4 linked regions of the Lonchura striata genome follow. The protein of the gene in region 3 interacts with the protein of the main gene of each other region in a pairwise test. Links are inferred from orthologs where the notes say so. Each region holds a gene or a part of one and is shown on either strand. Other genes may lie near its edges.

Region 1 (7,360 bases), on a different chromosome or scaffold from region 3:
TCCCTTGCTTCTCCCAGACAGCTGCCAGGCTTGAGGACTACCAGAAGTACTGAGCAAACGCTCACTTACACACCTTACACTGTTCCCTCTCCTCCCTGTATCCTGCCCGGTCCCCTCCTCCTGTCCTTTGGCTCACCTCTGGGCTAGATGGTACCACCCATGGCCCGCAATTTGTTCTAACTCTCACATCTTGCTCTGAGAATATCTGCAGCTTTCAGGAATGAAAGTTGCAGAATTTCAGCTTTACAGAATCTAAGTCCCAAACTTGTGGTGACTCCCAAATTCTGTGACTGAGCCTTCTGTGAGAGCACACTAACCACACACATGGCAGAGGATCCAGTAGCATCCACACACCTATCTGCAACAGTGGTAGGTACATTTCTGTGCATGAGTATCCACGGGCACCCTCCACATTCCAATGTTCAGACCAAGCAGAGACAAAATCTCTCACAGCCAGATCAGTGACATCAGGAGCCATGGGGGCAGCCTCTGCTCCAGCACCTGAAGCTGTTTGAGCCAGTGCTCTGTGAACAACAGCACCAGTCCCAGTACAGCTCCCATGGCTGGGAGACAGCTGCGCTGACTGGGAGCAGCCTTGGCATTCACAGCCCTGACTGCCAGCAGCTGGTCACCTCCAAGATCTAGAATCCTCTCCTGGGCAGTTTGGAAATGAACTATTTTGGTGTCAGCATAGAGCTGCCACTCCTGAACAGCTGACCCCCTGGTGTAACACAATGGTGACAGTTTTGTCCCATGCACCACTAGCCCCATCTCCACCAGACCCACGAGGAGCCCCTCCCACAAACTGGTATTTAGCAACAATCATGACACAGAGGGCACAGAAGAAAGCCCAAACCAACCAAAAACCCAAATCCCCAGCTCTTTGGTCACATTCCTGTGTTCCAGCCTTACTTCTGTGATCCAGAGCTAAAGAATCACGCATACCCATCACATAGATTAATCATGACCCACCCCAACCTTCTTAGGATTTCTGAGGAGCCCACCAGGACCGAAAACACTGCTGGGGACCAGAACCAGCATGATTCCAGTCATCACTGCAGGCCAGGCTGGGCTTGGCTCTGGGGGAACAGCCCTCACCTTTCCTATCAGCTTACCCACAGGTCCTGGGGATCCCACTGCTCTGTGAAACAGCACAGCCCCCAGGAACTGCCATGGCTGCAGGAGGGGACCCCAGCCTGTGCTGGAAGCAGGGTACAGAAGGGCTCCTGGATTTTCAGACACATACCCTAGCTCCAAGCAGGGATTCAGGATCACAGAAGCCTGTAGAAGGCAGCAGGAGGCTGAATCCCTACCTGGGAATTTGCACGCTACCTTCACTGCTCCCTCAACCCAGCAAATTCTTCCGGATTTTCAGCATGTTTTGTGCAGGGCAGAGCAGCTGCAGTAGCTAACGCTGGAGCCCCACCTCCTGCCAGGAAGAAACACTAGCGGGATATCCCTGCTGTGTCCAAGCAGACAGTGGGAATCACTGACTCCGTACCCTGGAATCCCGATCCCAGGGCAGCAGCGAGGCCAGCATTAGTCAGAGTATCATCAGATGAGCTAATCAGCTCCGTCAGGCGCAGCTGTGGAGGCAGCAGGGCCGGTTCCAGCAGTCCCCACCCTTCCTTCTTCCCGCGCAGGGAAAGCCTGCGCAGCCACCCGGAGAACGCAGCTGGAATGTGACCCAGCAGTAAGTGTTTCTACAGGGCCCTGTCCCAAGCTGCTCTGCCAGGATGGGAAGCCAGAACAGCCCAAACAGCCTGGCTGCTCCACACAGAGAGCTCAGATGGTCCCAGGGCAGCACAGGGGAGTGGGGGACACCAGTACCACAGGAAGGACAGGAGCCTAGCTGGCACTTCCTGAGGCCAGGCGCTATCAGGGCATATCAGGTAACACTGCTGCACCAATTGCTTTGTAAGAGCATCCGAGGGAATTCTCATCCCGCTTGATCCCCTCGGCTGTCTCACAGACCCAGGCAAGAAGGACTTGGGGAACAGGAGGACACGCTGCTGCCCAGAGAGGACTCAGCAGTCTGAGGATGGAGAATTTTTTTTTCTTTTTTTTTCTGACATATCCCTGACCTGTTGTTTACCTACATGGCTGAACTGTGCAGAGCCAGGCTGAGGGCTCACAAACAACTCCAGAAGGATAAAGGCTGCTGGCAGTACTGCACCAGGGCTGCAAACCAGATCTGTGGGTACCTGGAGCCAGGACTGTGACCTATCCATGTGTGTCAGCAGCCGAACCCACAGCAGTTAAACTGTCCCCACTCTGCAGTCATGGAACAAGATCCTCTACACTGGAAAAATGCTTGGACAAGCGGAGCAACAGAGCAGACCGGAAACCGTCAAGTGATCAAGTGTGGTTGGGAGCTTTTGTCACCACAAACAAACGACGGACGACGGTCAGGGCCCTCAGACCAGCTCTCGGGAAAACGCCGCTGCTCCCGGTGGAGTGATGCTGGCGGGGGAGCCGCGGCTCCGGTGCCAACCCCCGCGCCGGGGCTCGAAGCGCACCCTGCCCGCGGCGGTCGGGATGGAAGGGCCCTGACTTGACACGGAGCAGTCCGACTCTTGTACAGTGTCTCACAGTTCCTCATTCCGTGCCCGGCGGCCATTTATGAACAGCCCGTACGCGCCAGAGGCACAGCCGACCTGGGCACGTGTGGGGCCGGGCGATCCCCGCACCGCACCTCGGACCGAGCACCGGGCACGGCCCGCCGGGAGCCGCCCCAGCCCCTCGGGGGAACACGGGCCGCCCGCGCCCCGCGCTCCGCCCTCGCCCCACGCGCTCCGCTCCGGGACGGCCCCGCCGGGGGCGGTGGCTCCCCCGGCCTTCGGAAGGTCGCGCAAGGGCACCCGGGGCCCCGCGCCCGCCCCTCGGCCGCGCCCGGCCCTTCCCGCAGCCCGCGGCCCGCAGCCAGCGCGGCGCGGCCGGCCCGGCCCTTCCCGCCCAACCGTACCCCCACCCACCCGCTCCCGCCGCTCCCGCCGTACCGGGCTCGCTCGCTCCCCGCTGCGCTGCCAACGCCGCGGATCCGCCCAGGCCCCGCGCGCCCCCGCACTTCCGGGACACGCCCGGCACTTCCCGTTACTCGCCGCCGCGCCGCCGCCGCGCTTCCGGCCGCGGACCGCGCGCTGATTGGCCCGGAAGGGCGCGCGCGGGCGGGGCGGGACGGACCGGATGGGCGGGACCGAGGAGGAGCGGGGCAGGACCGGCGGGGCGGGGCAGAGCGGGATCGGAAGCAGGAACGAGACCAGCGGGGCAGGACGGGACCGGGACCGGGACCAGTACACGGCAGAGTGGCGCGGAGCATCACGGTACGTGCGGGAGGGCGATGGGGCGCGGGGCCCAGCGCGGCAAGGCACCAGCCACAGCTCTAGACATGGTTCTATTTTATTACGGCAAAGGTGAAAAAGCCACCTTGGCCCAACAGGCAACCAGAAAAATTTATCCCAAAAATAACTCGGTACAAAACAGGTCTGCTGAGAATTAAAAAAAACCTTTACAGGAGTTAAAACCTATCCCAGAACGTAAAAGTAAAACAAATCCCATCCTTGGTAGTAGTAGCCACAGCCGCAGCCCCTGCCAGGAGTGTGGAGCACGATTGGAGTCCTTCCCTGCGCCCACCGCTGCTGCTTTAGCTGGTGTCCATCTGCAAGAGAGGGGAGGAATGTCACCGCAGCCCTGGTACCTCGTAGCACCCCCCTGCACCCAAGCCCACTCACTTCTTTGCAGGCAGCCTGGCTCTGGTGAACCCACAAGCTCTGGGGGACAGGGACAGGTGGGTCCAAGCCACAGCACACCATGAGCACAACAGCAAATTGCACCCCAACACTGCTCCAAAGCTTTTTCTAGAATCCTGCTCATCCCACTTCTTCCACACTCTTGCCCTGACATATCCTGAGTCTTGAACCACCAGCTCTGCTGCCACAGTGTCCATGTGGCCTCAGCTTTGTTGGGATCCTGGCCCAGCTACAGCATATGCTGAGCAAGTTCCAGGTACAGCTGCAACCTGCCCATGGCTCCCCAGGCTGGGGCTCATTTCTGCCACAAACATTACACCCTTTCCCCAGCAGCACACCACACAGTTCTTTCACATGAGATTTTCCTTCGTCTTCCCATTCCTGCAACCTATCAGCTGTGCGAGTTTTGTTCTGCAGCTGCTGCTCATAGTGGCTGTTCCAGCTATGGAGCCTGGCAAGAACAGAGCCTGTTTCTCAGCCATCAGGAACAGGTGACAAAGTGCTCTGGAAAGGGAAGCTCAGACCCAAGCCAAGGCACAGTTCAGCTTTAGAGAGAGACTGCTTCAGTCCAAGGACCTGGAAAATGCTTTCCCTTTTCTGCCAGCTCCAGACTGCCAGTGCTTCCCAGGATGAGATGCTGTAGGGAGCCCATTACCATGCCCAAGCAGCACTTACCCTGGCATTGTAAGCATCCAGCTGTGCATCTAGTTCTTCTGCAGAGAGCTGCTGTTTGGAAGTTCTTCCAGCTCCTCTGCCTCTCCCTCTGTTCCCGCCACGAGTCCCTCGCCTGTTGCCTCCACCTCCAAATCCCCCCGAGACCCCACGGTTTCTGGTCATGCCACCTCTGTTTACACTGTAAGTTTTAAAACAACTGTTTTAGTGCCTTCAGCGAAGCCAAACAGGACCCACGTTCCCCAGCAGGGAGGGTTCCTGCACATTCCCCTGCACTGCTTGGGCAGGGGCTCCCCCACCTCTGTGCTGGTCTCCGCTGCGTGTCGATCTGTGACGTCACCAGCTGGATGTTCATGGGGCGCCCTGGAGGAGGGAGAGCGTCCGTGAGCCCACGGGGCACGCGCGGGGCAGGAGCCGCACGGACGGGCGGGAGGGACGAGGGCGTGGGAGAAACGGGCACGAGGGGAGGGACACGGATGTGCTCTGCTCCAGCCACAGAAAAAGTCGTGGGGCTGGGCCACGCAGCCTCACCGTCCAAGGGGACCCCATTGTACTGCTTCATGGCCTTCAGCGCATCAGCCTTCCTCTCAAAATGCACATCTGCCGTTCCTAGGCTGCGGCCAGATCTGTCATAGTGCACAGCTGCCTTCTTCAAGGTCCCAAACTCCGCAAAGAGCTCCTGAGAATGACAGGGAAAGGAGCAGCCCATCCATCAATGCTGCAAGCACTGCAGCGCCCCACACAGACACGCTCAGCACCAGAGCTTGTCCCACCACCTCAGACAGCCTGGAAAAACACCCAGTGGCACAGGGGAGCACAGCCCATCAGCAAGATTTCAGGGAGCTGTCACAAGTGGCAAAACCAGGCAGGACTCCACGCTCACGTCCTGTAGGAGGCACATTACAGCCAGTGAAGCAGATTCAAGGGATGCTGACCTGTTTTTTTTTCCCAGGGGAACTGGGGGTCCTTGTTGAAGGTGAGTCAAAGTGGCAACAACTGAAAATACCGCAGACCCCAGACACCTTTCTCACAGAGGAGAATGACCATGTGATTGCAGGGATCCACGAGACTATGACACTTTTACTGTGCTAGACTTATGCCCATTAGAAACATATCCTAAAAATGGAGACCAACAAAGTCCTCTGCTGAGGTGTGTCCTTTGCTGCCACAAAAGTTGGAAATAAAGAGGCAGCAACAGAGCCACCAATTTTGTTTCTCAGGCACTATATCTGGGAAGCCAACAAGGTTACTGCACTGCCTGTGTCAACCTGCTCCCAAGTCACAACAGGGCTCTCAGCAGGGCTGCTGGAGAACTACAAAGGACACCTGGCAGATGCTTTCTGGACAGAATGTGGCAGGCAAGGCTGTCTCAGCTCTGCCCAGAGCCCAGGATCTGCTGCTTCTGCCTCAGAGGACACAAAGAGCAATGCTGCACAGCTCATTTGTGATCAGAGTACCTTCGGCCTCTCTTGGCACATAAAGAGGCATCAGCACAGGAACAAAACCAATCCCACATCTGAGGCAATGCTAAATTATGGGACATGGGGCCAAAGCCGTTGATTCAGCCCCCAGTGGGGGCTTGTGCAGCAGCAGGAAGGTGAGTCCTGGCTGCACACAAGGCACAGGGGCTGAGTTTTACACACTGCCACCTCACTGCAACAAACAAAAACTTATTTAAACTCAGTCTGAACTTATACGAGGAAAAGAGGTGGAGTGCAGCACACTACCCAGTGAGCAGGTGACTTGACAGAGCTGCTTTCCAGTTCTCCACACGCAGCCAGATGGGTGTGTGGAGAGGCTGAATGAATGAACTGATGAGGAAAGTCTAACACCACTGTTTTGGTTTTCCCTGGTGAGGGCACAAGAGCCAGAGGCCAGGGTGATGGCAACACTCTGTGGTGCAGGAGCCTCCACCAGGGATACATGGCCCTCAATTCCTGCACAGCTCACAGCCCACTCATGACCCTGTGACACCCCTCAGCCTCCAGCCCTGAGGCAGATGCCCCAAGCACCCGATTGCAGGCACTGTGGGCTCTGACCAGCCCAAACGGGGCATGGACACGACAGGTGGGGGACAGGACACCAAAGCACCAGCACAGGAGAGCTGTTCCTATGACAAATAACTACCTGGTTACACTGATAGGTGCATCCTTGGGAACCCCTGACACCCACCAGAGTGTGGTCTGACAAAGCAGCAGGCCCCACAGCACCATTACAGACAGCTACAGCTGTGCAGAGCAGGAGCTCAGAGTTCACAGTGCATCCTCCAACCACAGCGTGATCCAGCACAGTCACAGCATCGCTCCCTGTACACCGGGAAGTCACTTACAAAACACCTATAAACCGAATTTTCCAGCCCCCTGGAGACCACCACGATCGCCGCAAAGTAGGCATACCTAGTACCAACCCCATCAGCAGGGATTCACCCGGGAATCCTCGGCCCCGAGCACAAGCCGGAGCAGGGCCGGCGGGGTTCCCGCGGGTACCCGACCTGGGCCAGCGAATGAGGCCCCGCTCGCCGCGGCGCCTCCCCGAGCCGCACCTGGATGTCCGCATCCGAAACGCCGAAGTCCAGGTTGGAGACGAGCAGTTTTCCGCCGGTCTCCACGCCGGCCCCCGCCCCGAAGCCGCTGTCGAACAGGTCGTGCTGCCACTTCTCGGGGAGCTGCTTCGGCTGCAATGAGACCGGGACCTCGCTGACCGGCGCCAAGGCGCCGCAGCCGCGCCGGGAGTGGACAAAGGGCCGCCCGCGTCCGCGCCCCCGCCCCGCGCGGACCCTCCACCCCAGCCCGCCGCACCGCCGCGGCCTAAGCTCCGCCTGCCCGATCCGTACCCGGCTGTAGGGCGCGGGCCGGTTCCTGCCGCCGCCCCGGGCCATCACCGGCCGGTTCCGCACGGGGCCGCCGCCCGCGCGCCCGCCGCCAACGCCGCCCCGGCCG
Region 2 (7,311 bases), on a different chromosome or scaffold from region 3:
CAGCCAGCGTCCCCCCGAGCTGCCGGGACCCCTGCGCAGGGTCACTCCATGGGGACACAGCGTGGAGAGGAGCAGCTGGCTGTGAGTGGGAAGGGAGAGCGATGTTTCCAGGCCTGACCTCCCCGAATGAATCCTCAAGCGACTTCCCATCAACCAACAAAAAGCAGAGAGCCCCCAGCAGACCCCTGGGGTCACACACGGACCATCCAAGGGGACACCTGTCATTGCAAGGAGGTCCCCAGGGAGTCCCAGAGGTCGGAGACGTACCAGGGACCCCTGGGCATCGCACAGACACCCCCAGAGCTGTCCCCATGGCCAGGGCTGGATCGGGGCCAGGCCTTGTCCCCCGCTCCAGGGCAGGACACAGCTGAAGGATGCTGCGGCAGGATGGGGGGGATGGAGGCAGCCATGGCAAATCCCAACTCCCTGAGCCAGGCAGCTATAAATATCCTTTCCGAAAAGGGGCCGGAGCCTGAGCTCTTCCGCTCCAGCTTTTGAAGCGCAGCCGGGCGAGAAATAAACAGGGACTGGTGGGATTTTAGCCCAAACTCCCACGGTACTGCCTGGATGGGCGAGGAGATGTGGAAAAGGGGGGTTCACCCCCAAAATGGGGGTTAACTCATGCCAAGGAGAGATGACTCCCTTGATGCAAAAGCCCCCGGTGGCACTCAGGGAACTCACCCGCCCACGGGGGGCCGTGGCCGGAGCTCAGCCCGGTATCAGCCACGGGAGAGCCCCCAGGCACGGCCGGTGGGTGCCGGAGCCGCGGCAAACGGGACGAGCTCCTTCCTCTGCCCCGGCGCCGGTGCCGCCGGACGGACCAAAGTCCGGCCGCACTTCCTGCTGCTGCCAGGGAGGAGCGGGGCCACGGGGCAGCTCCCCAAAACTGCTCCGAGCCCAGCCTGGGCACGGCCCCATCCACGATCTGGCCCCGTGGACCGCATGGAATCCCCCCGGTAACCGGGCATTCCCGTGCACCCATGGGGTGGGTGCTCCCTGTGCTGCTCCCATCACCACCAGCTTGGCACAAGAAGAGCACCCCTGTGTCCGTGTCCCCATGTCCGTGTCTGTGTCCCCGTGTCCGTGTCCCCGTGTCCGTGTCCGTGTCCCCGTGTCCATGTCCCCGTGTCCGTGTCTGTGTCCCCGTGTCCGTGTCCGTGCCCGTGTCCGTGTCCGTGTCCGTGTCCCCCTGTCCGTGTCCCCGTGTCCGTGTCCGTGTCTGTGTCCCCGTGTCCGTGTCTGTGTCCCTGTGTTCGTGTCCGTGTCCGTGTCCCCCTGTCCGTGTCCCCGTGTTCGTGTCCGTGTCCGTGTCCCCGTGTCCGTGTCTGTGTCCCTGTGTTCGTGTCCGTGTCCGTGTCCCCGTGTCTGTGTCCCCGTGTCTGTGCCCGTGTCCGTGTCCCCGTGCCCATGTCCGTGTCCGTGTCCGTGTCCGTGTCCCCGTGTCTGTGCCCGTGTCCGTGTCCGTGTCCGTGTCTGTGTCCGTGTCCGTGTCCGTGTCCCCCTGTCCGTGTCCCCGTGTCCATGTCCGTGTCTGTGTCCCTGTGTCCGTGTCCGTGTCCGTGTCCCCGTGTCCGTGTCCCCGTGTCTGTGCCCGTGTCCGTGTCCCCGTGCCCATGTCCGTGTCCGTGTCCGTGTCCGTGTCCCCGTGCCCGTGTCCGTGTCCGTGTCCGTGTCCGTGTCCCCAGCGAGCCCCTCCGCCAGCGCAGCACCGGGGCCGGGCAGGCTGCCACACGTCCCGGTCGGTGCACACCGGCTCCGTGCCCCCTGCCGAACGCAGCTCTCCCCCCTCCCCGGCTGCGGGGCAGATGAGGAGGGGGCTGCGTTTCCTTCCCAGCCCGACTTCCTGAATTTCCTTAGGAACCGCGGCCCCGGAGGGCGCCGGGATCCGGCAGGGCCTCGCCGGGGCTCCGTGGGGAGCCGCCGGTGAAAGCTCCGCGGCTCGCACGGCCACGACCCCTGCCCGCGCCCCCCGGCACCCGCCGGGGCCTGGCGTCCTCGAAAGGGCCCCGGCGGCTCTCGGCCCGATCCCCGCTCCGAGGGTCGCACGCCCCCCGCAGCCCCGGCGAGGAGCCGTGCCCGGGCTCAGCCCACCGGGGCCCGGGCAGGGCGGCTTCGGGCCCGGCCCTGCCGGCACAGGCAAAATGACTTCCCGGTTGGGAAAGCACCGCTCGGCTCTGCGTCACCGCCGGGCTCCGGCAGCGGGGTCCGCCCCGAGCCCCCCGCACTGGGGTCACCCACTGCGGGGTACCCGCTGGGGTCTCCGCAGCTCGGAGGGAAAGCCCCCGTGCGGGGACGGGGCTGGACGGGGTGAGAGTCCTGGGGTGCCCCGGCTGCGGGCCCGGGACCCCGGGATGGGGCGGCAAAGTGGGGCTTGCTTGCGAGCTTCGGTGCCGGCTGCGACCCCCGGGGCAGCGGCTGCTCCGCGGGGCTCCGCGCACTCCGGGGGTCCCAGCAGCGTTCGGGACCCCGCGGGTCCTGCCCGGGTTGGTGGGACCCGGCAGGCCTTGGGACCCCGGTGGTCCCGGTGGGGCTGCGGATCCCGGCAGGACTCCCCGGTTGCACCAGCGAGCTGCCGGGGGGGTGGTCCCGCCGCCCCGCTCCCGTGCCGGTGCCGATCCCGGTGCCCTCTCCGCCTTCCTGCGGCGGTTCCGGGGGCCCTTCCGCGGGGTCGCACCCGCCGGTTCCCGTCCCGGCGGCGGCCCCATTACCTGTCCCGGCGCGGGAGCGGGTCCCGGTGCCGGTGTCCGGCTCGCAGCCCCACGCGTGGCTCGGAAGTCCCGGTCCCGCTGCCGGTGTCCTGCTCGCAGCGGCCCCAAGCGTGGCCCGGGCGTGCAGGTCCCGATCCCCGTGCGAGCCCCGCTCCCGGTGCCGGTGCCGGAGCCCCGCTCGCAGCCCAGGCGTGGCTCGGGGGTCCTGGTCCCGGTGCGGGTTCCGGTGCCGGTGCCCCGCTCGCAGCCCGAGGCGTGGCCGGGAGGTGCCGGTGCCGGTGGCCGCTCGCAGCCCCAGGCGTGGCCCGGTGCGGACGCGGCGCTGCTCCCGCCGCCCGGCGCGGCTCGGCCCGGCCCGGCCCCGGTACAGCGCCCTCCCCGGGCACCGCCAGCACTGCGGGGCTGCGGGAATGGGATCCCGGTGGGAGCGGGGGTCCCGGTGGGAGTGGGAGTTCCGGTAGGAATGGGGGTCCCGGTAGCAGTGGGGATCCCGGTAGGAGTGGGGGTCCCGGTAGGAATGGGGCTCCCGGTAGGAGTGGGGGTCCCGGTGAGAATGGGGGTCTTGGTAGGAATGGGGGTCCCGGTAGGAGTGGGGGTCCCGGTATGAGAGGGGGTCCCGGTGGGAATGGGGGTCTTGGTAGGAATGGGGATCCCGGTAGGAATGGGGGTCCCGGTATGAGAGGGGGTCCCGGTAGGAATGGGGCTCCCGGTAGGAGTGCGGGTCCCGGTGGGAATGGGGGTCTTGGTAGGAATGGGAGTCCCGGTAGGAATGGGGGTCTTGGTAGGAATGGGGGTCCCGGTAGGAGTGGGGGTCCCGGTGGGAATGGGGGCCGTGGGACCCCCCAGCGCCACCCTGCAGCTGGTGTTGAGTGGTTTCACCATTTCCAGCCCGGTGCCCTTCCGCTTGCACAACATCTGGTGGGCTGCTGCCACCGCCACAATCCTGCCACTGCCACCAGCACAGTCCTCCCAGTGCCACCGCCACAATCCTGCCACTGTCACCAGCACAGTCCTGCCACTGCCACCAGCACAGTCCTCCCAGTGCCACACCACAGCCTGTCACTGCCACCACCACAGTCCTGCCACTGCCACTGCCACAATCCTGCCACTGTCACCAGCACAGTCCTCCCAGTGCCACACCACAGCCTGTCACTGCCACCACCACAGTCCTCCCAGTGCCACCAGCACAGTCTTCCCAGTGCCACCACCACAGCCTGTCACTGCCACCACCACAGTCCTGCCACCACCACCGCCACAGTCCTGCCACTGCCACCGCCACAGTCCTGCCACTGCCACCAGCACAGTCCTCCCAGTGCCACCACCACAGCCTGTCACTGCCACCACCACAGTCCTGCCACTGCCACTGCCACAATCCTGCCACTGTCACCAGCACAGTCCTGCCACTGCCACCAGCACAGTCCTCCCAGTGCCACCACTACAGCCTGTCACTGCCACCACCACAGTCCTCCCAGTGCCACCAGCACAGTCTTCCCAGTGCCACCACCACAGTCCTGCCACTGCCACCAGCACAGTCCTGCCACTGCCACCGCCACAGTCCTGCCACTGTCACCAGCATAGTCCTCCCAGTGCCACCAGCACAGTCCTGCCACTGTCACCAGCACAGTCCTCCCAGTGCCACTGCCACCGCCACAGTCCTGCCACTGCCACCACCACAGCCTGCCACTGCCACCAGCACAGTCCTGCCACTGCCACCGCCACAATCCTGCCACTGTCACCAGCACAGTCCTCCCAGTGCCACTGCCACAATCCTGCCACTGTCACCAGCACAGTCCTCCCAGTGCCACCGCCACCGCCACAGTCCTGCCACTGCCACCACCACAGTCCTGCCACTGCCACCGCCACAGTCCTGCCACTGCCACCAGCATAGTCCTGCCACTGCCACCACCACAATCCTGCCACTGCCACCGCCACAATCCTGCCACTGCCACCGCCACAATCCTGCCACTGTCACCAGCACAGTCCTCCCAGTGCCACTGCCACCACCACAGTCCTGCCACTGCCACCGCCACAATCCTGCCACTGCCACCAGTACAGTCCTCCCAGTGCCACCAGTACAGTCCTCCCAGTGCCACCACCACAGTCCTGCCACTGCCACCGCCACAGTCCTGCCACTGCCACCAGCACAGTCCTCCCAGTGCCACCAGCATAGTCTTCCCAGTGCCACCACCACAGTCCTGCCACTGCCACCACACTGTGAGCCTCAGAGTGCCCCTTCCTGTGTCAGCCCCCAAATCCCAACCATCCCCACTGCTCCCACTCCAGAAATCCTGAACAAGGCAGCACTGTCCCCACTCAGTCGGGTTTCTGTCCCACGCCTGTCCCCAGCCATCGGGTGGCCCTGGCTGATAATACCCCAAGTGTTTGGGACCTCGTTTCAGCTGAAGAGCCTTTTTTTTTTTTTTTTTTTTGGTGTTTGTGCTGCCAGAGGACAGTGTCCCCCTTGCAGCCCTCCCAAAACCGCGGGGCTCAGAGCAGTGCCCTCACTGCTACGTCCCCTTGGGGGGTTCAGCCCCAGGTCCTTTCCCAGAGAGGGACATCACAGTCTTTGGGCTGTCACATGTGAGCAGGTGACAAGACCTCGAAGAGCAAGGAGATGGGTGACATCCAGCTTCTTATGAGGTTGCTCAGCCAAACTTCACCCCATGGCCTGGGGTACCCCCAAAAAGAGCTGCTCAACCCCTTGGAGGGATCAGCATCCTTCAAAGGGCTCCCAGGTGGAATTTTCCCTGTGCCAAGTGCTGCAGGGGCCCAGCTGAGACCAAGGGTCTATTTTGGAGCAGGAACATGGGATCCTCTTTGCCCATTACCGTGCTGGGAGGTAGAGGAGGAGGAGGAGGAGGAGGAAGAGGAGGCAGAAATAGTCTGGCTGAAAGCCGAGCACTGGCAGAACAGCTTGGCACCATCAGAAATGAGCTGTGCGCAGGGAACAGGGAGGAAAATAAAGAAAAAAAACCCCTAAAGCACCAAAAGAATGTTGATCTCAGGCAAAACCCAGGGAGAGGAGGGCAAGGGTTGCCCTCAGCATCTCAGGTGGATGGATGTGGCCTGTGCCCCCCAAAAAGGGTGTTTGGGGTCTCGGTGGTGCTGGGGCAGGGAGATTCCCTGGTCTGAGGGGTTGCATCGGGGTTTTCTTTGCTGCACCTCCAACACCCGGGGTCAGCTGTGGGGGAAAGTGGGTGTGAGGTGCCCCCACCCGCCCTGGGTGAAGCCCCCCCCTCAGCCCTGGCAGTGATTGATGCCAGTTTGGGTTGTCTCCCTCTATTTCCAGTTCCATGTCTGGCTGGGATATTTTTGCCGTGTGACCTTAGGACCAAATAGTCTCAGTCTCAGATTAAAAAAAAAAAAAAAAATTTTAAAAAAATATATATGTGTATAGTTTTGGGGGGTTTCTTTGAGCCAAATTTCCCTGTGTTTGACCCGCACAGTGCCCTCCCAAGGTTTGGGGATACCACAGCACCCCATATCTTCCCATGCAGGTAAAATAAATCTTTCCCAGCTCTTTGCAGACCGAAAATTATTCCCCCCAACACGGAGCTGAAGGCTTCAGCAGTTCAATACATCCTCGGCTTGGGGGTCCAGCGCGCAGGATCCCCCCCCACTCCCCGCCCCTGCCGTCCTCCCCCTCCCTGGCGCGGGTGGGAGCCGCTGACTCATCTGCCATCATCATCATCCTCCCCCCACGAGGAAGGGCACTCGGAGGGGCTGCATTGCAGACCCAGCCGAGCCGGCAGACAAAAGCGACGCTGCTCCGCCCGCGGCTCCCCGGCACAAAGAGCCCGGCCGGCGCCGAGCTCGCCGCTGCAGCACCGCGCCCTGCGCAGGTAAGGGATGCGAGCCGGCCGGGATGCTCGGCCGCAGGATGCTTTTTGTTCCGGGAGGGATTTGGGTGGAGGGGAACTCCTGGAATTTCTTTTTGATGGGGGGAAATGAGCCACAGCCAGCGGGGATTTAAGTGGAGAAAGGTGGTTTTGCTTCCATGGGATGAGCAGAGCACATTGAGACCGTGGGAAATGCTCTTTTTTAGGGGTGTCACGCGTAACAAGAGGGGTTTCCCCCCGACATTCATTCCCTTTTACTAGATATTTTATTATTTCACTTGTCACTAAACTCTCTTTTCCCCTCTTGTCACTAAACTCCAATTTTTCACCATTTGGAGCTTAAAAATCCATGTCCGCAACACCCATCACCATTAATAAATCTCTGCTGTCGTGCTGCAAAAACTCACAGACAGACCCCTAGAGATGGACCTCCCAGGGATAAATTCCCCGGGAAGAGATTATTTTAAAGTCCTGTGGCTCAGTTTACCCGGCGGGGGTGACACAGGAGCCTTTCACAGCCCCTGAGTGACATCCAGAACCTTAAATTTAGCAGCTGACCAGCATTCATCGCACCGACAGGGCACGATCCAAAGTATGCCTGAATCATCCTTGAGAATTCTGCTTTCTGAGACTTAAGTCAGGGAATCAGCAGGGAAATGAGGATGGTTTGGGTTAGTCTGCTCTTTTTTCCCCACCTCCGGTGCCAGTCGAGGAGGGGAATGACACAGCCCTGCCGGGGAGAAGCCGGGCAGTGACTCAGCTCC
Region 3 (7,208 bases):
TTTACAACTCTTTAGGTCAGAGTCATTCTTTGGAACTCCAAGGGGAGATTACAAAGATTAATTCCACAAACTCTGCTTCTTGCTCTGTTTGCAGTTTTCTGCACACCCAGGGCCAGGTAATCAAATTCAGTTCATCCACTCAAAAGCAACCTAAAGGATCCCCCACCAGAAGCTGGGAATTACCTGCCTTAATGCCATTCCTGTCACTCACCTCAGGTATTAACATACACACCATGGGCTGCAAGGGGCAGCTGACCACTATGTTGGGGTGGCCAAACAACCTCAGAGAGGGAGAACTTTTGTGCCAAGCTTCAGCCCTTGCAAAAACTCTGGGGAAAGGGATTTTTTTTACCTACCACTCCTAATGGCAGTCCTTCCTGAGGGATATACACTTAGCTTGTATCGTGTCAAACCGTAATAAAGTGTAGGGTCTGGGAGAAGCCAGATAATTAAATGGTGACAGGCTGCAGAAATGTAAAGGTACTTTAAATTTCTCTTAAAACTTTGCATAAAAGCTTATCTGGTCAATAAATTGTTTTATTTGTCATATATTAACTATTGAATATAGGGTGCTTTCACCTACATTTAATGTAAGGGAGTGAAAGGAACCAAGGAAGAAGACTAAGTGGTTAGAGAGCTTCTTGCTACCTGAAGCACCAGAAACCAATTCCACTTCCATTTGATTTGACAGAACTTTCATCTTCTAAAATGAGAAATATGTCATTCTTTCCTCAGCAAAGAATCTTTTCCTAAAGAGCAATGATAACTAAACCCTCTACAATTCCTCCTAACTGTCTCTTGCTCCAGAAACTCGTATCATAAATTCATGATGGAGCCAAATGACAGCAGGAGAGCTCAGCTCTCCTGACCACAAAGGGCAGGCAGAGGAATGAGCAGGATCAAAAACACAAGCCCACAGACAACTTTTAAAAGCTGTGAGCACTCACATGGGCATCAAGCAGATTATACACATCTCACCTGCAACATCTTACACAAACCTCAGCTGTAGTGCAGCATGTTCATTTATTGTCCGAGTCTTCCGGAGCTAACAGCAGAGCTGGAACCCAGGTACACCAACCAACCCCCATGGTAACAAGAGAGCTGCTGAAAAGGTTTTAATTGTAAGGTCCAGCTATCTATGCTCATAAAACTTGGAAAATTACTTTAGTACTACATCTACATTTTAATGAAAAAGAAGCTTTACATCAAGATTAGTGGCTAGCTTCATGCTGCACTTTCCATCAGCCTCACACAGGGTTTACAGCAAGGAAAGCCCACAGAACACTTATAAGAGAAATCCCTGGGAGCTTCACAGGGGCTCCATTTATGTTTACCGTTGCCTTTTAGCAGAATGACAGTTTCAGTTTTAGGTACTTCACACTCTAGAGCTTCCAGAGCTTTTCTATTTAAACAGTAAAAACATCATGAACTTCCCAGTCATCAGTTTTAGGCAAACAACCCTAAAGCAGAGCACTTAATGATTCAGAACATCAGTTGCAGGTCATGAATAACCAAGTTCAAAGTATGCAAATTTAGTGATTAAAATTTCTGCCTCGGATATGTTACCAAAGTGAAAACATGTTTTATCTTGCACCACAGTAATTTTTTATTCCTTGCCAAGACTTAGTTTTTTTGTTGTTGTTGTTACTGAAGCATAAATGAGAACAGTTTAAACACCAAACCATTTTTACAGTCGGCAATATACTTATTCAAACCATACATGCCTAAGACCTGACTCAAATATAGTTGCCTATATTATCTTCCTCAGAACCTTACACTAACAAGAGTACAAAGCAGAAGTTTACAACAGAAGGGAAATTTAGAACAGCTTCTTCACATACAACTTCCTCACATTCAGCCAGCTGAATATAATTTGCTTACAGAAAAACAGAAGCTGTAATGCTTTACTGAGTTATCCCAATCAGCAATACAATGAGCTTGATGCAGTTTTTAAATGCCCCTTCCGGAAAAAAAAATAAAGCTTTTGGGCGCTGCAACTCAATATTTTGAACAGCCCACACCTCCTTTCCTGGGAGAGAAGCACAAAGACAATCATAGATGGCCAGACCAAGCAGCCAGTTCTGATCATCCAGTTACCATGTCTGATCACTCAGTTGCCATCTAACACGGCCTCTTTGCCAGGGCTTGTCTTCCTCATGCTGCTGTCAAGACAGGATCTCTGGCTGCCCTGGCCACAGCATCCACACAGAAAGGACAACAGGAATCCCGACCATTCTTTGTTAAGCATAGGTTTCCAATGCTAGGTCTTCACAGCTACCTGGCTCTGCAACTGTCTCCTACTGCTGTCACCAGCTGCAAGTTCTATCTACTTACAGATACGGAACTGAAATCTAGATCACTAAACCAGACCTTTAAAACAGAGACAGGAGTTATGATTCTGCAGTATGTACATTTTTATGAGATTTCCAAGGAGAATGAAAAACATATGTCAACACCAACCTTTGAAGCAGTGCTAGCTCCTGGCCCAGCTACAGCCAGAGGCATCACGATGTAACGAAAGCTGTGGGACAGCTTTGGATAACCCACAGCACTGCAGCTCGTGAGGCAGATACCCAGAAGAGTCTGCGACTTCTCGACTGAGCGCTGTCTGTGCAGGGCACATAGCTAGAGCTCAACTCCTCGCCATGCCCACACCCCGCTGCGGTTCAGGGCTGCTGTGCCCGCAGCCCCTCGAGGCTTCTCCCACAGCCCCGAGCGCAGCCGGACTGCACCGAGTGCGGAGGGCCGCGGCTGAGGCCGGGACGGGCAGGGCGGGGCTGGGACGGGCAGGGGCAAGGGAGTGCGGGCGGGCCCCGCCATGGCTGCGAGAACGCTTCCTGCGCCGTTCCGAGGGTCCAGTCCGACGGCCGCCCGGAAGCGGGGGAAGGGTGGGCAGGAGAAGCGGCGGCCATGCCGACCACCTCAACAGACCAGGCCCACAAAGGCAAGCGTCCGCCAGCAGCCACCGGGACCCGCCGGGAGGAGGCCGCCCTTCCCCCCGGCAGGCGGCTGCCGGGGAGGCCCCGCACGCACAGCGGGCGCCCCGGCCGAGGTGAAGGCCAGGGCTCTATTGGTGGGTGCGCGCGGAGAGCAGAACCGGCCGGAGGTCCCGGAGCTCGGCCGGAGGTCCCGGAGCTCGGCCGGGGGTCCCAGTCCCGTCTCCGCCCCCCTCCCCCGCCCCCCCACTCTCACCTCGGACGCTCCGCCGGGCGTTGGCAGCTCAGTGCGGGGTCTCCTCGGCGCAGGCACAGGGGCAGTCGATTGACGTCACCGCGCAGCGCGCTGGTGAGGGGCGTGCCAGCTAGGACGCCCCCTGCCGGCCATGCGCCGCGGCTCGCAGCGCGCTGCGCGCAGCGTCAGGGGGCGCGCGCGGGCACGGCCTGCCGGATGTGAGGTTCGCCGGCACAGCGCCCAGGCTCCCTCTAGGTTTGGTTTGGTGTGGTTTGCTTTTTGTTTTTTTTTGTTTTCTTGTTTTTTTCGTGGTTTTTTTTGGTTTTTTGTCTTTTCTCCCTGGACCTGAAGCCGACATAAGAAGGGCCAAAGATCCACAGTTCATCCTGTTGGGGCACTCCTCATGGCTGGGAGATGACACCCCAGAGCAGAGGGTACTTATGGCAAGTTAAATCCCCCTAACCACCCCCATCATTCAGGAACAAGAGGCCGGAAAGAAAATCTCCAGGCACAACTACTTTGAGAAGCAAAGCAAAAATCTGGCCTGAAACAGTAAACTACAGAGCAATTCAAATATTAAAAGTTGGAAAAAGCTGCAAGTACCTATGCCAGCAGCTTCAAGTCACCAAACACTGTCTCTGGAGAGCACATGGAATAGGTCAAACCCTCAAACCATCTTTGCATTGGACTTCTTAAATGAGCCCTGGTCCATCTGCATGGCCAAAGACAGGACACAATCCACTCTGCCCAATGTAATGGTGTCAGAAGCATATCTGTGCCTTCTGCAAATATTCCACATCCCTGGGGATTCTGGAAAGAGCCACTGCCTTCCAAATATGCTCACTGCTGCCCGGAGCACTCACAAAAGAGCAAAGGAAGAGGAACATTTTCAAAAGAATTTTCAAGATGAAATCATGAGTGGATATCAGTGTCTCACTGTCTCTTCCAGATGATTTTCGATGAAATCCCTGCCCTGTCAAGCACAAATGTTCCAGCTGGGTAGAGGCTGAGCCGAGTGGATGAGAACAAGAACCTGGAGAGACCCTGGAGTCTCCCACAAGGCACCATCTCATCATTCCTCCAGAAACTCATTCTTGATGCAAGCATCACATGAGGCTCCACCTCAACCAGCTTCATCCTTGTCTGTGTTCCAGATTATGTTTTGCTTTGGCTCTAGAGCACCTTCCAGTATTTCTGATGATGCCTCACAGTTCTTTGACTTTAATTACACTTCAACAGTGCATAAGCAATATTGAGGGAATGGTTCCCCCTTTCCATCAACTGCTCCCTGCACCAGCCTCATTCCCCACTTCCCACAGTGCAAAGGAATGAGGATGCCAAGGATGAGGATGACTATGAGCTCATTACCTCCATGTCCCGTCTCTTGAGGCCTCCTTTGTCTTTTCACAAGAGAAAGACTTGACAGTGCCTAGAAGAACTGCAGAATACTAGTGACTTGTGGGCTATGGAGGGCCAGGGGTGTCTGCTAGACACACATGACATCCCACCATAAGCTACAGAGGTCCACAACCACCACTCCTCAAGCCTCTTGTGCATGCCATGGTACAGATATTAATGATGGAAACAGATAAAACCAGGGCAAGAATCCTCACTTCCCAGAGGAGCATAAATCAACACACGTGAACCACACAAAGTCCATGCAGTAATTAACTTTATCCCTTCCAAGTTAAGATATAATACCATGCAGTAAAATCAGACTCAAGGCAGTGAAACAAGCAGAGAAAAACCCTGTCAAATTCAGCACCTGTAACTTGTTACGGAATTAATTATAGCCTGGTCTAATACTACTACTACTAATAACAAATTCCTGTTAATATGTCCTTGTGCTCCAAGTGAGGAAAGATATGGAAAAAAAAGCCTCATATTGAATCCAAGGAACAGGTTTCTGCCAAACAGAGGCTCAGCCATGCGGGGATGTAGGTGAGCTACTGCACCGGACAGAGCTAGGAGAAGAAAATCTGGGACAAAAAATCCTGGGCTAGGGAGCTGCTCCAAACCTTCCAATCCTCTGTAACACCAGTAGGAAACAGCTCTTCCCATGAGGAACTGTCACCGCCAGCAGCCTTGAGCATCTCCCAAGGCAAACTCCCAGTGCATGGGGATGAGGACAGAGGAATGCTAGAGACTTGAGGTAAGGCTGTGTCCTGCAAAAGGGGAATAAATTCCAGCAATGGCAAAACACAGTGACAGTGCTGGTCCCCAAGGATCTTGTTTTTGTAGATGCGCTCACAATCAGGCTCCACCAAGAAGCATGAAATCCATCCATAGCTGGCCCAGATCCCAAGGTCAGAATTCAGCTCCTACAAGTGGTCCCCAACTCTCCCATGTTGCCCATGGAGGTGGCAAGGTGATTGTGTACATGCAATGCCTGGAGTAGCATACAAGATCATCTTGTCATGTTAGAAAAGTGAGCAAGTCATGGGAGAATCCAACCAGATCTAATGTTACATACCAGGATCCAACCTGGACATCCTCTCTGTCAATAAATTCCAACTTTGGCTCCTCACAGAAAAGCAGGCAAGTTCCTGAAGAAGCCCTGTGTGGCTTGGCAGAGGGAGGATATCTCCTCAGCAGCTCTGATCTTTACTTCTCCCTAGTTTTTCTAGATGGAAAAATTACGCTGGGGGTATCCTACTAGCTCCACATGCCACTAAGTCTTCCTGGCAAAGCTAAAGGTATTTTTGCCACGCAGGAAGAACACAGGGCCTGTCTTGGTGGTACCTGTGAGATCATGGTTTATTTTACTCTCCCCACTGCTCTGGCATAAAGTCATCCAGTATCCTGCCTCTACCTAGCAGCTCATGCACTCAAATCCAAGGGGGAATGCATGAGGATGTGAAACACATCATCTGAAGAACACCTGAAGCCTGCATGGCACTTTTGGGGATGCTCTTTCCAGAGAAAAGCTTCATGTTCCCAGCTCAGGGATTCAGACCAGCTAGGACAGAGACCAGAAGACTCATCACAGCAGACCCTTTGCATAAGCTTTTGACCACTCTTTCCAGACCACAGAGCTCTCTAAACATGTACATTTTAATAAGGGGGAAAATCCAGCCCTGAGATCATTACCTGATACATTCACAGCGAGGTACACCAGAGCCAGGCAGACAGGAGATATTATTTTACAACATTAGCACATCTGCCCCAAGCATTTCTGCTTTTTGCTCCAAGCACTCTTGGAAGTCACACCTCCTGGTATCATCTGCCTCTTACTACAGCTTGCCATAGGTCAATGAAGTAAATTATTCAATTACTAGAAAGTCCAGTATGACTGAATGCAGAATTAAACTTCTTAAAGCACAAAAGCAATCAGCATTTTTGTTTCTTGGTCTATTTCCACCCTGCCTTTGGCAGCGTACAGGTACTCTGTCCCCTCACTCAGGGACTCTGCTCAGGGGGTCCTGTGTGGTCACTTGGTCACACCCTGGAAGTTGAGCTCCATGCACAGGGGCAATGCTGCCGGCTGGCTCAGCAGCTTCTCCAGGACAGTTATTTCAGCATCTCGTCTCTCTATGTTCTCAAACGGAGTCCAGGACATGTCATGCTGGAGCTTATAGGCACCAAGAAATTCATGGGGAGTAGTACCCCATTCCTGGTGGAGAAAAGAGAGATTCCATCAGTGTTCAGGTTTCCTTGGAGCTTGGCTGTGCTGTCTCTCAGCCCTACTACCTTCAAAGCAGTCCCAGCTACATGACCATACCATTTCCTAACCTAAATACAGGGTCAGATACCCAAGTCCAAGATCAGGTCGAGCTCTAGCACTGCTGACAGAGGAAGGCATGTGGACACAAGATCTCCCTGACCTGCCCTGAAACTTCCACCTTGCATGTAAGAAAACAGGTAGTCTGGAAGGAGGAGATTTCCAAGATCATCTCTTCAGCTGCCTGGGCTGAAGTACCTGAAGAGACCCTCCTGCCAGGCAGCCACACCAGCAAGGGAAGGTTCAGAGCCCACTGTCAGTTCTTTACTTTCAGGCAAAGAACCGCAGTACCAAAAGACAAAATCCAGGTCCACGC
Region 4 (8,058 bases), on a different chromosome or scaffold from region 3:
GTTTGCTGCCTTTCCACCTGCCCTCCTTCCCTGGGAAATTTCCAGGGATGGACTTCCAGGAGCACAGCAGTGCTGGAAACTTTCTGGAGGGAGGGCAGGCAGGGGGCTCTGTGGGAAGGGGGTGCCTTGCTCAGTGCACAAGAAGCAGATATCCTGTTGCTGCCCAGAGTCTCTGGCTCATATTTCCTCATTAACTGAAAGTGCTGCTCGTTTGCAGGTGACTTCCAGATGTTCCCATTCTTCTCTTGGGGCCATGAGGGCACATACCACATGGGTATGGGGATTACTGCAAGCAGTGGGATGGGGGACAGAACCCTGCCACAATGGGGATGGGGGTGCAGAGAGCTCCCTTGCCCCACCAGGCATGGCCTCATCCAGCTCCCTCTCACCCTGGTTCTGTCAGGTCCCTTCTCACTGCTCCCATCCCATGGCCCTCGGTGCTGCCTCCAGTCCATGTCTCGCTGCCCTGGGGATGAGCTGAAGGCAAAGCCGGTTTTAGGGTGACCAAGCCAGAGTGGTGGCAGGAGGGGACACCCTGGGGCAAGGGATAGGTGCAAGCACCCAGCGTCTTGCCAAGAGCATCCCTGGCCTGATGCCAGCTCTGGCTTTGTAGGCACTGGATCCCCTCATGCCCTATAATTTCTCCACTGGGGTGATTTCTCCTCTGGCTGAACCCCCAGATATGCTTGGCCAGGCTCAACCCATTTTTGGTGCAAGTCCCCCACACCATGCCTGTTGCCTTTGAGATAAGCAGGGAAAGGGACCAGAGTGGTCTGGTTCCCAGAATCTTTGTGTTGCACTGGGGAAGGAAAGTGGGGAGATTGTGGTGAGCACCATCAGGCAGGCAGAAGCATTGGATTAGATGCACTCATGCTAGAAGTGGGGTGGATAACCCTGTAAACACCCACTTCTAACTTTCCCCACCAACTCCTCCCCTCCCCTGGAGCAGTGGGAGGACGAAGGAATGGGACTGACCACGTCTTGCTTGTGGGATTTGCAAAGGGGGGAGTGTGTGCTTTTCCCCTGGGAGCAGGGCTGGGAACTCAAAGCCTCGGGGTTTGCCAAAGCCCAGGAGGAGGTACGGATGAGTTCCCAGGCTTGTTGGCGGGCTGCCTCCCTCCCTCTGCCCATCTCCTCCTATCCCAAATATTTTCATCTTTCCTCCTCCCCCCACACTCCCCAGCTTCCTCCTGCTATTCCTGTCTGTTGGCCAGGGATGTGGGGTGCTGTAGGGCTGCTGTGGATGTTGTGGGGTCTTGTTGGGTGTGAGGATGGAGGGACAGACCCCAGGATGGCCCCTGATTTATACTTTCCCTCTGAGTTTCACATGGGCACAGAGGAGAGGGAAGGGGGGTTCGGGACGTAGCTGGGAGGGGGAGTGAGGATGTTGCATAAACCAGAAGTAATCCAGGAACAGCTGCCTGTGGCCTGGAAATACTTCTGTGATTCCACGTACTAGGAAAGGAGATGTAAATATAAAGATATATATTTATGTATGTAGACTACATCTCCCCAGAACAACCCCACCCTTGATTCTCCAGTTCTTTTTCATAGACCTTGTAAAAGTCAGTGCAGGAGGGACTGGGGGGAGGGCTTAGATATAAATTTGGTGCTTGGAGAAGCAGCTCTCTGTGTACAGAGGGATCTGTGAGTCTCTTTGCCCTTCCTCAAATATGTTCACTTGGCAGGACAAGGAAAGGGAGCATATCTACAGAAGTTTAAAGCCCATGCAGGCTGGAGGGAGCTGGGATGGAGGTTCCTGGGGTGGGGAGAGAAAGAGGAAATGGTGAGGGTAGAAGGGATGCAGAGGGGAAGGAGGGGATGGGGTGAGTGGGAAACTCTGGGCCTTTGGGAGGAAAGAGCCTTTTGGAGATGAATTGCATGAGGAGGTGCAGAAAGGTGTTTTGGGGAAAGGAGGAGCTGGGGAAGGGAGAATGTCCTCAGGGCTGGTGTGGCATGGAAGAGGGGACCATCAAGGAATGGGAGATGCATCCATAGAGCAGAGGGGGAGTGGCATGCAGGGGTGAGGAATGGTAGAGTGTACAGAGAGAGGATATGGGATATAGGGAATGGGGATTAAGAGATAAGTCGTCCATGTTGGGAGTGGGAGACTGTGCTTGGAGAACCTGTTCTGGTCAAAGGGAAGAGGTGAAACCAGGGGAGTGGTTGGACAGAAGGCCTGGACAACTCTTTAATCCTAATGATTTTGCCTGTCCATCCAGCCCATGTATTTTTGGCCCACGGAAGGAAGGGGGTGGGGATGCAGGAGCAGCTAAAAATAGGGGTTGTCCCTGCCCATTCCCCCAAGGCGGGCATCCGTCTGCCTGCCTGTGGGGCTGCTGCAGGATCTGGAGGAGGGGAGCAGATCCAGCCTCCTCCCCATGGCGTCTGGCTCTGCTTTTGTTTGTCTCACAGCCCTACAGGGACAGGAAGAGGCTGCAGGGCTGGGGAACAATGGCTCATTCTCCGGGAGTCTGTGCCTGTGGAGGAGCGATAGGGGACACGGGATGGTGGCCAGAAGGCACAACCTCCTAGTGCCACTGCTGCAGGAGTTCAGCCCCCAGGAGATGATGGGTTCCACTGGTGGGATGCAGGGGGACCTTCCCCAGCCCACCCCTCTTGCCCACGTTCCTGTACCCGGGTGCAGAGGGGATGAGGGGATGACTCACAGCGAGTGCACATTATAGAGGAGACCAGGGTGGCAATGCTGCCAACCTGAAGAGCGGTGGGAACATGTTTCCAACCAGCACTGGGGAATGCACTGTCAGCCTCTCTTGAGCCTCTGAAACCTGGAGTGTGGCTGGAGCTTGCACCCCCAAGTGGGAATGTCCCCAGGTGAGGCTGGGAAGGTATTTATCTGGGAGCTGTACTGTGCCTCTGTCCCAGCCATCACTGTGCTCCCTGAGGCACTGCCAGTATTGGTGGAAGATCCCTTCATGCTCTGTGCTCCCTGCTGTCTGGGAGACTGCCAAGGGGCATGGATATGTGTGCATGGTGGGGGGTGATAAATCCTTTTATCCTACCTCTTTCTTCTCCAGACCCTCCTTTTGAGGCAGTGTCTCTCCCGGATGTTAGATCTAACAGCATGGTGCTGGAAACTCTGCAGGGAGAGTCTCTCCCCACACTTCTTCTCCAGACTTGCTAGGGATATGAGGAGGTGATGTTAGCACCTGAGGTAGGGGAGAGGTTAGGACACATATTGCAAAGATTGAGCAAGAAGAGGACAGAAGAACCTCCCTGTTTCCAGCCCCTTTTTTTTCAAGGTCTTGGATAGCTGGGGCTGAATGCTTGCCAGGGCTCCTCTTGTTTACTCAGCCGGGGAGCTGACACATCCAAGGTCTCTGCTGCCTCCACTTTCCCACATGCTGCTGGCCGGCACATTCCAGGGCAGAGTGGAGATCAGTGCAGAGGCATACCAGAGGTTTCCATCCGGGATGCCATCCCTCCTCCCTGCTCTCCCCAGGCATCCGGCACCTCTTGCCAGGTCCTGAAGAGCAGGCATCACATGTGCTCAGCATCCTGGGCCTTTAGAAGCCAGGGCTTGCACAGAGCCCAAGTGTGGATTGGGACCCCAGAAGATTGGGATATGCCTCTTAAACTGAATGCCTTCAGCAGGGCTCTGTCCTTCTTCCTGGTTCCCTCTGCAGATCTCAGTCCTGTTCCCTGTCATGACCCACGGGAGATGTGTGGAGGAGTCAGGGATGCCTGTCTCAGCTTAGTCCTCCCTAGAGGAAGCTGGGGGAAAGGGGTAATACTCTCCTAGGCAACAGTCCAGCTTCTTAATTTTAGGACAGGCACCTATTCCTGCAGCTGGGCTTAGTTTGCTGAGGGTTAACAGCACTGGGCTTTGCAGCTGCACCCTTCTGCAGGCACAGGCTCTGCTCCCTCCTGGGCAGCAGCCCAGACCTGATGTGGCTGCCTTTGGTTTTGGGACAGAAGGACACAAAGCTTTTAAAAATAAACGCCAGGAGATAAAGAAGGGTTTGGAGAGCTGGCTGCAGGGCGGGGGCGGGAGCATGGCTCTTGCCCTGTCATTTAGGCTGGACGCCTGTGTCCCAGCGATGCTCCCACCTCCACCGGGGCTGCTGGCATCTTTGCCTCCTCCGACCTCAGGCTGCTGCAGGCAAAGGACCGCCGTGACCTTTCCTTTTCCCCGCAGGCTGGCCCATAGAGGCCCCTTTACGCCCAGCCCCAGCGTCTGGAAGAAGGGGCCTCGTCTCCCTCCTGGGCTGCCGCAGGAAATGCGGAGCCTGGAGGTCAGGGGCCAGCCGGCAGCTCCTCCCGAGGGGGGCAAGCAGCGCAGCGCTGGGCTTGCATCATGCCGGCGCCCGCCGCAGAGCAGGGGAGGGAGGCAAGCCCTGCAAGGGGGAGGGAGAGGGCCAGGCTCTTCCTGTTTATGTGAGTACCAGACCCCCAAGAAAGGGAAAGGACTTGGAAAGCTCATTGCTCTTGGGCGGGCTCCAGCAAGCGACTGTCTGTGACTCTTAGCCCAGGGATTGCATTTGTGTGGCAGGGCGTGACTTCTTTGCAGGGGAAATGGGCATCCAGCTCCAGAGAGGGCTAGGATTGCATTCTGGGGCCTTGTGAAGCTCTGTTCTAAGGGAGAGTCTGTCGTTAGCTTCCTGGGAAGTGAGAGACAGCTCTTGCTACATGCCAGGCTTTGATTCCTCCCATGGCTGTCTCTGACTGATGCTGAACTCCGTGGGATGCTCTAAAGGGCAAAGACCCACTCAGGCCACAACGAGGAGGTAGCTGGGTATTTTGGCTTTGGGACAGAGGAATGGAGAGCACTGGGAACACCAGGCATGGAGGAGGGTTTAGGGGAGGGTGCCTGTTCAGCCATGATGGCTCCAGAACAGATCCCATACGGCCACCAGAAGGGCTGGAGACCTCCCTTGTTATCTAGGGTCACATCCTGCAGGGCATCTGGTGTGGCTGTGGTGGTATGTGGAGGAGGAAACAAGGTCCAAGATGCTTTTTTCTTAGCCTCTGGCACCATACTGCTCTGGCTTAGGTAACATCTGCACTGAATTTGTCATATCTCAGCTTTGGTTTGTAGTCCTCAGGTCATGCTGAGCGTGGGTGGAGGGGTGCTTTGTGCCACCTCTGGTGGATGCCCTGGAGGACACACCATTAAGCAGCATTAACAGGAGCAGATGGGAGTTACAGCCCCTCAAGTAAGCCGAGGCCTGGCTCAGTGCAGCAACTGTAGGATACAAATAGCTGAATGCAGTGTAGGTCACAGAATCACTGAATAATAAAAGTGTTTGGGTTGGAAAAGACCTTAAAGTTCATCCAGTTCCAACCCCCTTGCCAAGGGCAGGAATAACTCCCACTAGACCAGGTCGCCCAGAGCCCCATCCAACCTGGCCTTGCACACTTCCAAGGATGAAGCATCCACTCTTTCTCTGGCCAGCCTGTTCTGGTGCCTCCCCACCCTCACAGTTGCGAATTTCTTTCTGTACCTAATCTATACTTGCTCTCTGTCATTTTAAAGCCATTCCATGAAAGGTCTTGGGAAGGTCACACAGTCAGAAGAAAGGAGCCCTGGCAGGTCTGTGGGGCAGGAACAGGCACAGCCCTTGACTCTCCATATCCTTCCCTTTGCAAGGGCTCCAGTTTAAGTCCAGGCCAACCCAAAGCATTTTGGCTTTGCCCAGCCACCTCCTTCCCCAAGAGGTTGGCTGGTAGGGTGGTGACACCCTATGGCTGTGGAGCAGTGTTACAAGTGATGGTAGCACTTGGCTGTTCTCTGCCCTCTCTACGGAGACTCTGCCCTCTTACCATGTACTCAGCTCTTTTCTCTCATCATGTCCTGGACAGGTTTGCTCCCCAGCCAAAAGGAAAAGGTCCTGATGTAGTTCTGACCTGTCCCTTTCCCTGATATGGCACATATTTAGTATGAGTGTTGTGGGGTGCTATCACCCCTCCTGCCTCTCCTCCATCAGCATCTGGCCAGTCTCAGCCTGACAGTGACTCAGGGGCTCTGGCAGCTGAACATCCTGGGGCATGTCTATGCACCAGCTCAGGAGAGGAGCCATACAGGACTTGGATCATCTCAGAGAAGAGGAAGGGAAGATGGAAGTAGTGTTTTCTATCTATGCCTCCTCATTTAGTCCTGTTGAAGCACTCTGAGTATTTCTGAATGGGGTGAACAGAGTTCCCAGCTAAGCAGTTGATGTCTTGGTGACAATTTGTTCTTCTGAATTCAAACTTCTTACAGACAGTTTGCTTGTCTCTGTGATGACATCTGAGCTGGTTCTTCTCACTGTCTCAGTGTCTTTGCCTTCATCTGCCCTGTGAAGACAAGCCAGAGTTTGCCTCTTGGTCCTTTTTTGCTCCCATCCTAAGCTAATGCTCCTGGGAGATGGTGGAAACACCCTTGGTCTGGGCAGCTGGCCTTGTGGAGGGCACCAGTGATGATCCTGCAGTGCAGTGGAGTGTTCTTGGAGAGGATGATGTGCACTGTCTGGGGAAACCTGTCCATCCCACAAGGCTGGAGCTCTGCTGGGGGTGGAGTAGGAGTGTTTTGTTTGCTAGGTGGGTGTCCACAAAGGTGATGGAGGGGATGGGAGGCCAGGATGGAAAAGGCTTCTCAGTGACTGTTTGGGGAGGTCTAGAGGAGGACATAGGGGAGATAGAGAGGAGAACTGGTACACGTGGGAGTGGAGAGGAATGGCTGGCTGTTACAAAGCTGTCTAGACACTGATTTCTATTGTGCAGTCTCATCTTCCCTCTCTGACTTCTAACCCAGACTGATGACCCTGCCTCATTTAACCCATTTGCCTTTCTCTGGCTGCAGGTCAGCTACTTGTTTTATCCATCCAGCCTGGATCTGGGGCAGACTTCATTCACTATGACAGACCTATATCCCAGAAAGCAGAAGTGGGACTCAGGGAAGTACACACTGCCCATTTCTACTCCTTTACTGCTACCAAGGCTGGGATTGGTGAGAATACCTGAGTGACACTGAAACCAGCAGGACTGAGACATGCCCAGGGTCTCAGGAGCACTCGTGGGGCCCACAGCCAAGTAAGAGTTTTAATTCAGTGGGCTTGCAGGATGCTAACTAGAGACATTGTCATTCCCAAGCTATTTTTTCCCAGGATAATGCTGAGGCCCTATTGTGATTTAATGCTTTGAATGTTGGTTTACATGCAAGTCTGTCCCAAAGTTACATCCTAAGAGGTGGAAAACACTACTTCATCCTTGAGTTGGACATCCCAGTTTCAAAGGGGTGCAGCACCCAGCAGCTGGGTGAGGTTCATGTGGTCACATTGACCTCTGGTGGCTGCAGCCTTGGGGTGCAAGGAGGCACTAATGCAAACGGGCTGGGTTTGGTGAGCTGCTGCTTGCTGCAGCTGAAATGCCGTTGGGTTTGTTCCTTCTCTGGGCTCCATTCCCCACCACCTCTCCTCTTAGAGAGTAATTTGTTTTCCTCTCGAGGCAGGTAACCACTCTTTGTGAGCACACTCTCAGTTCATGTGGTTCTTGTCCCTGAGAAAAAAATTCTGCTTGCACACAGCCCAGTAAACAACAAAGGCGGATCCTTTATTGGAGAGTTGAATTCACTCCCAGTTTTTAGACAGAGTGGGTCATATTTGGGGATGGCAGACTGCTCCCCTGTATTCACTGTAACCTCTGTACTGTCACTCTTCAGACCCTTCTTATGCAGCCGAGGGCAGACTTTAATTGTCTTCTTGCAAAGGGTCACCAACCAGACTGGATTCACAATGAGCAGTGAGATGGACTCTTGATCGGCTTATATTCTGGAGAGAGAGGGGGAAAAAGCTGAGTCTAATCCCACTGGGATAATGGTTTAAGAATAAAGCAACTGCTGAGTTGGAGCCCCTTTGCCAGGGGCAGCTGGGCAGCTTTGGAGCAAGAAAGTTCATCCCAGGGACTCTAATCCCGTCATTCTGCTCTAATTCAGGTCTTCCTTGTGACCCTGCACACCTCTGGTGCCTTAAGGAGGACACAGATTTCTTGCCAATACCTCACCAAAAGGCTCCCACATGTTTTTGCCTCCTGTAGCTCCAGGCGATGGGTGTGTTCCTG

Evidence for each region.
Region 1: the proteins of CDC42 (region 3) and ARHGDIA interact in binary tests that used the Homo sapiens proteins (3 or more experiments, as listed by UniProt). The link is inferred for Lonchura striata from reciprocal best matches to the Homo sapiens genes CDC42 and ARHGDIA.
Region 2: the proteins of CDC42 (region 3) and CDC42SE1 interact in binary tests that used the Homo sapiens proteins (3 or more experiments, as listed by UniProt). The link is inferred for Lonchura striata from reciprocal best matches to the Homo sapiens genes CDC42 and CDC42SE1.
Region 4: the proteins of CDC42 (region 3) and CDC42EP1 interact in binary tests that used the Homo sapiens proteins (3 or more experiments, as listed by UniProt). The link is inferred for Lonchura striata from reciprocal best matches to the Homo sapiens genes CDC42 and CDC42EP1.

Annotation. Positions count from the first base shown.
Region 1 is NC_134621.1:11,932,161-11,939,520, forward strand, and holds the start of ARHGDIA (rho GDP-dissociation inhibitor 1), read right to left. Parts: upstream 3,104-7,360; 5' UTR 3,000-3,103; intron 1-2,999. Other genes in the region: ALYREF (THO complex subunit 4), read right to left, coding at 3,644-3,658, 4,425-4,602, 4,721-4,784, 4,953-5,100, 6,964-7,095, 7,255-7,360. UniProt on the Homo sapiens protein: Controls Rho proteins homeostasis. Regulates the GDP/GTP exchange reaction of the Rho proteins by inhibiting the dissociation of GDP from them, and the subsequent binding of GTP to them.
Region 2 is NC_134635.1:2,917,525-2,924,835, forward strand, and holds the start of CDC42SE1 (CDC42 small effector protein 1), read right to left. Parts: upstream 3,014-7,311; 5' UTR 2,709-3,013; intron 80-2,708; 5' UTR 1-79. UniProt on the Homo sapiens protein: Probably involved in the organization of the actin cytoskeleton by acting downstream of CDC42, inducing actin filament assembly. Alters CDC42-induced cell shape changes.
Region 3 is NC_134626.1:8,463,429-8,470,636, forward strand, and holds the start of CDC42 (cell division control protein 42 homolog), read right to left. Parts: upstream 3,286-7,208; 5' UTR 3,193-3,285; intron 1-3,192. Other genes in the region: C24H1orf50 (uncharacterized protein C1orf50 homolog), read right to left, coding at 6,602-6,784. UniProt on the Homo sapiens protein: Plasma membrane-associated small GTPase which cycles between an active GTP-bound and an inactive GDP-bound state. In active state binds to a variety of effector proteins to regulate cellular responses. Involved in epithelial cell polarization processes.
Region 4 is NC_134607.1:23,378,124-23,386,181, reverse strand, and holds the start of CDC42EP1 (cdc42 effector protein 1), read right to left. Parts: upstream 3,144-8,058; 5' UTR 3,024-3,143; intron 1-3,023. UniProt on the Homo sapiens protein: Probably involved in the organization of the actin cytoskeleton. Induced membrane extensions in fibroblasts.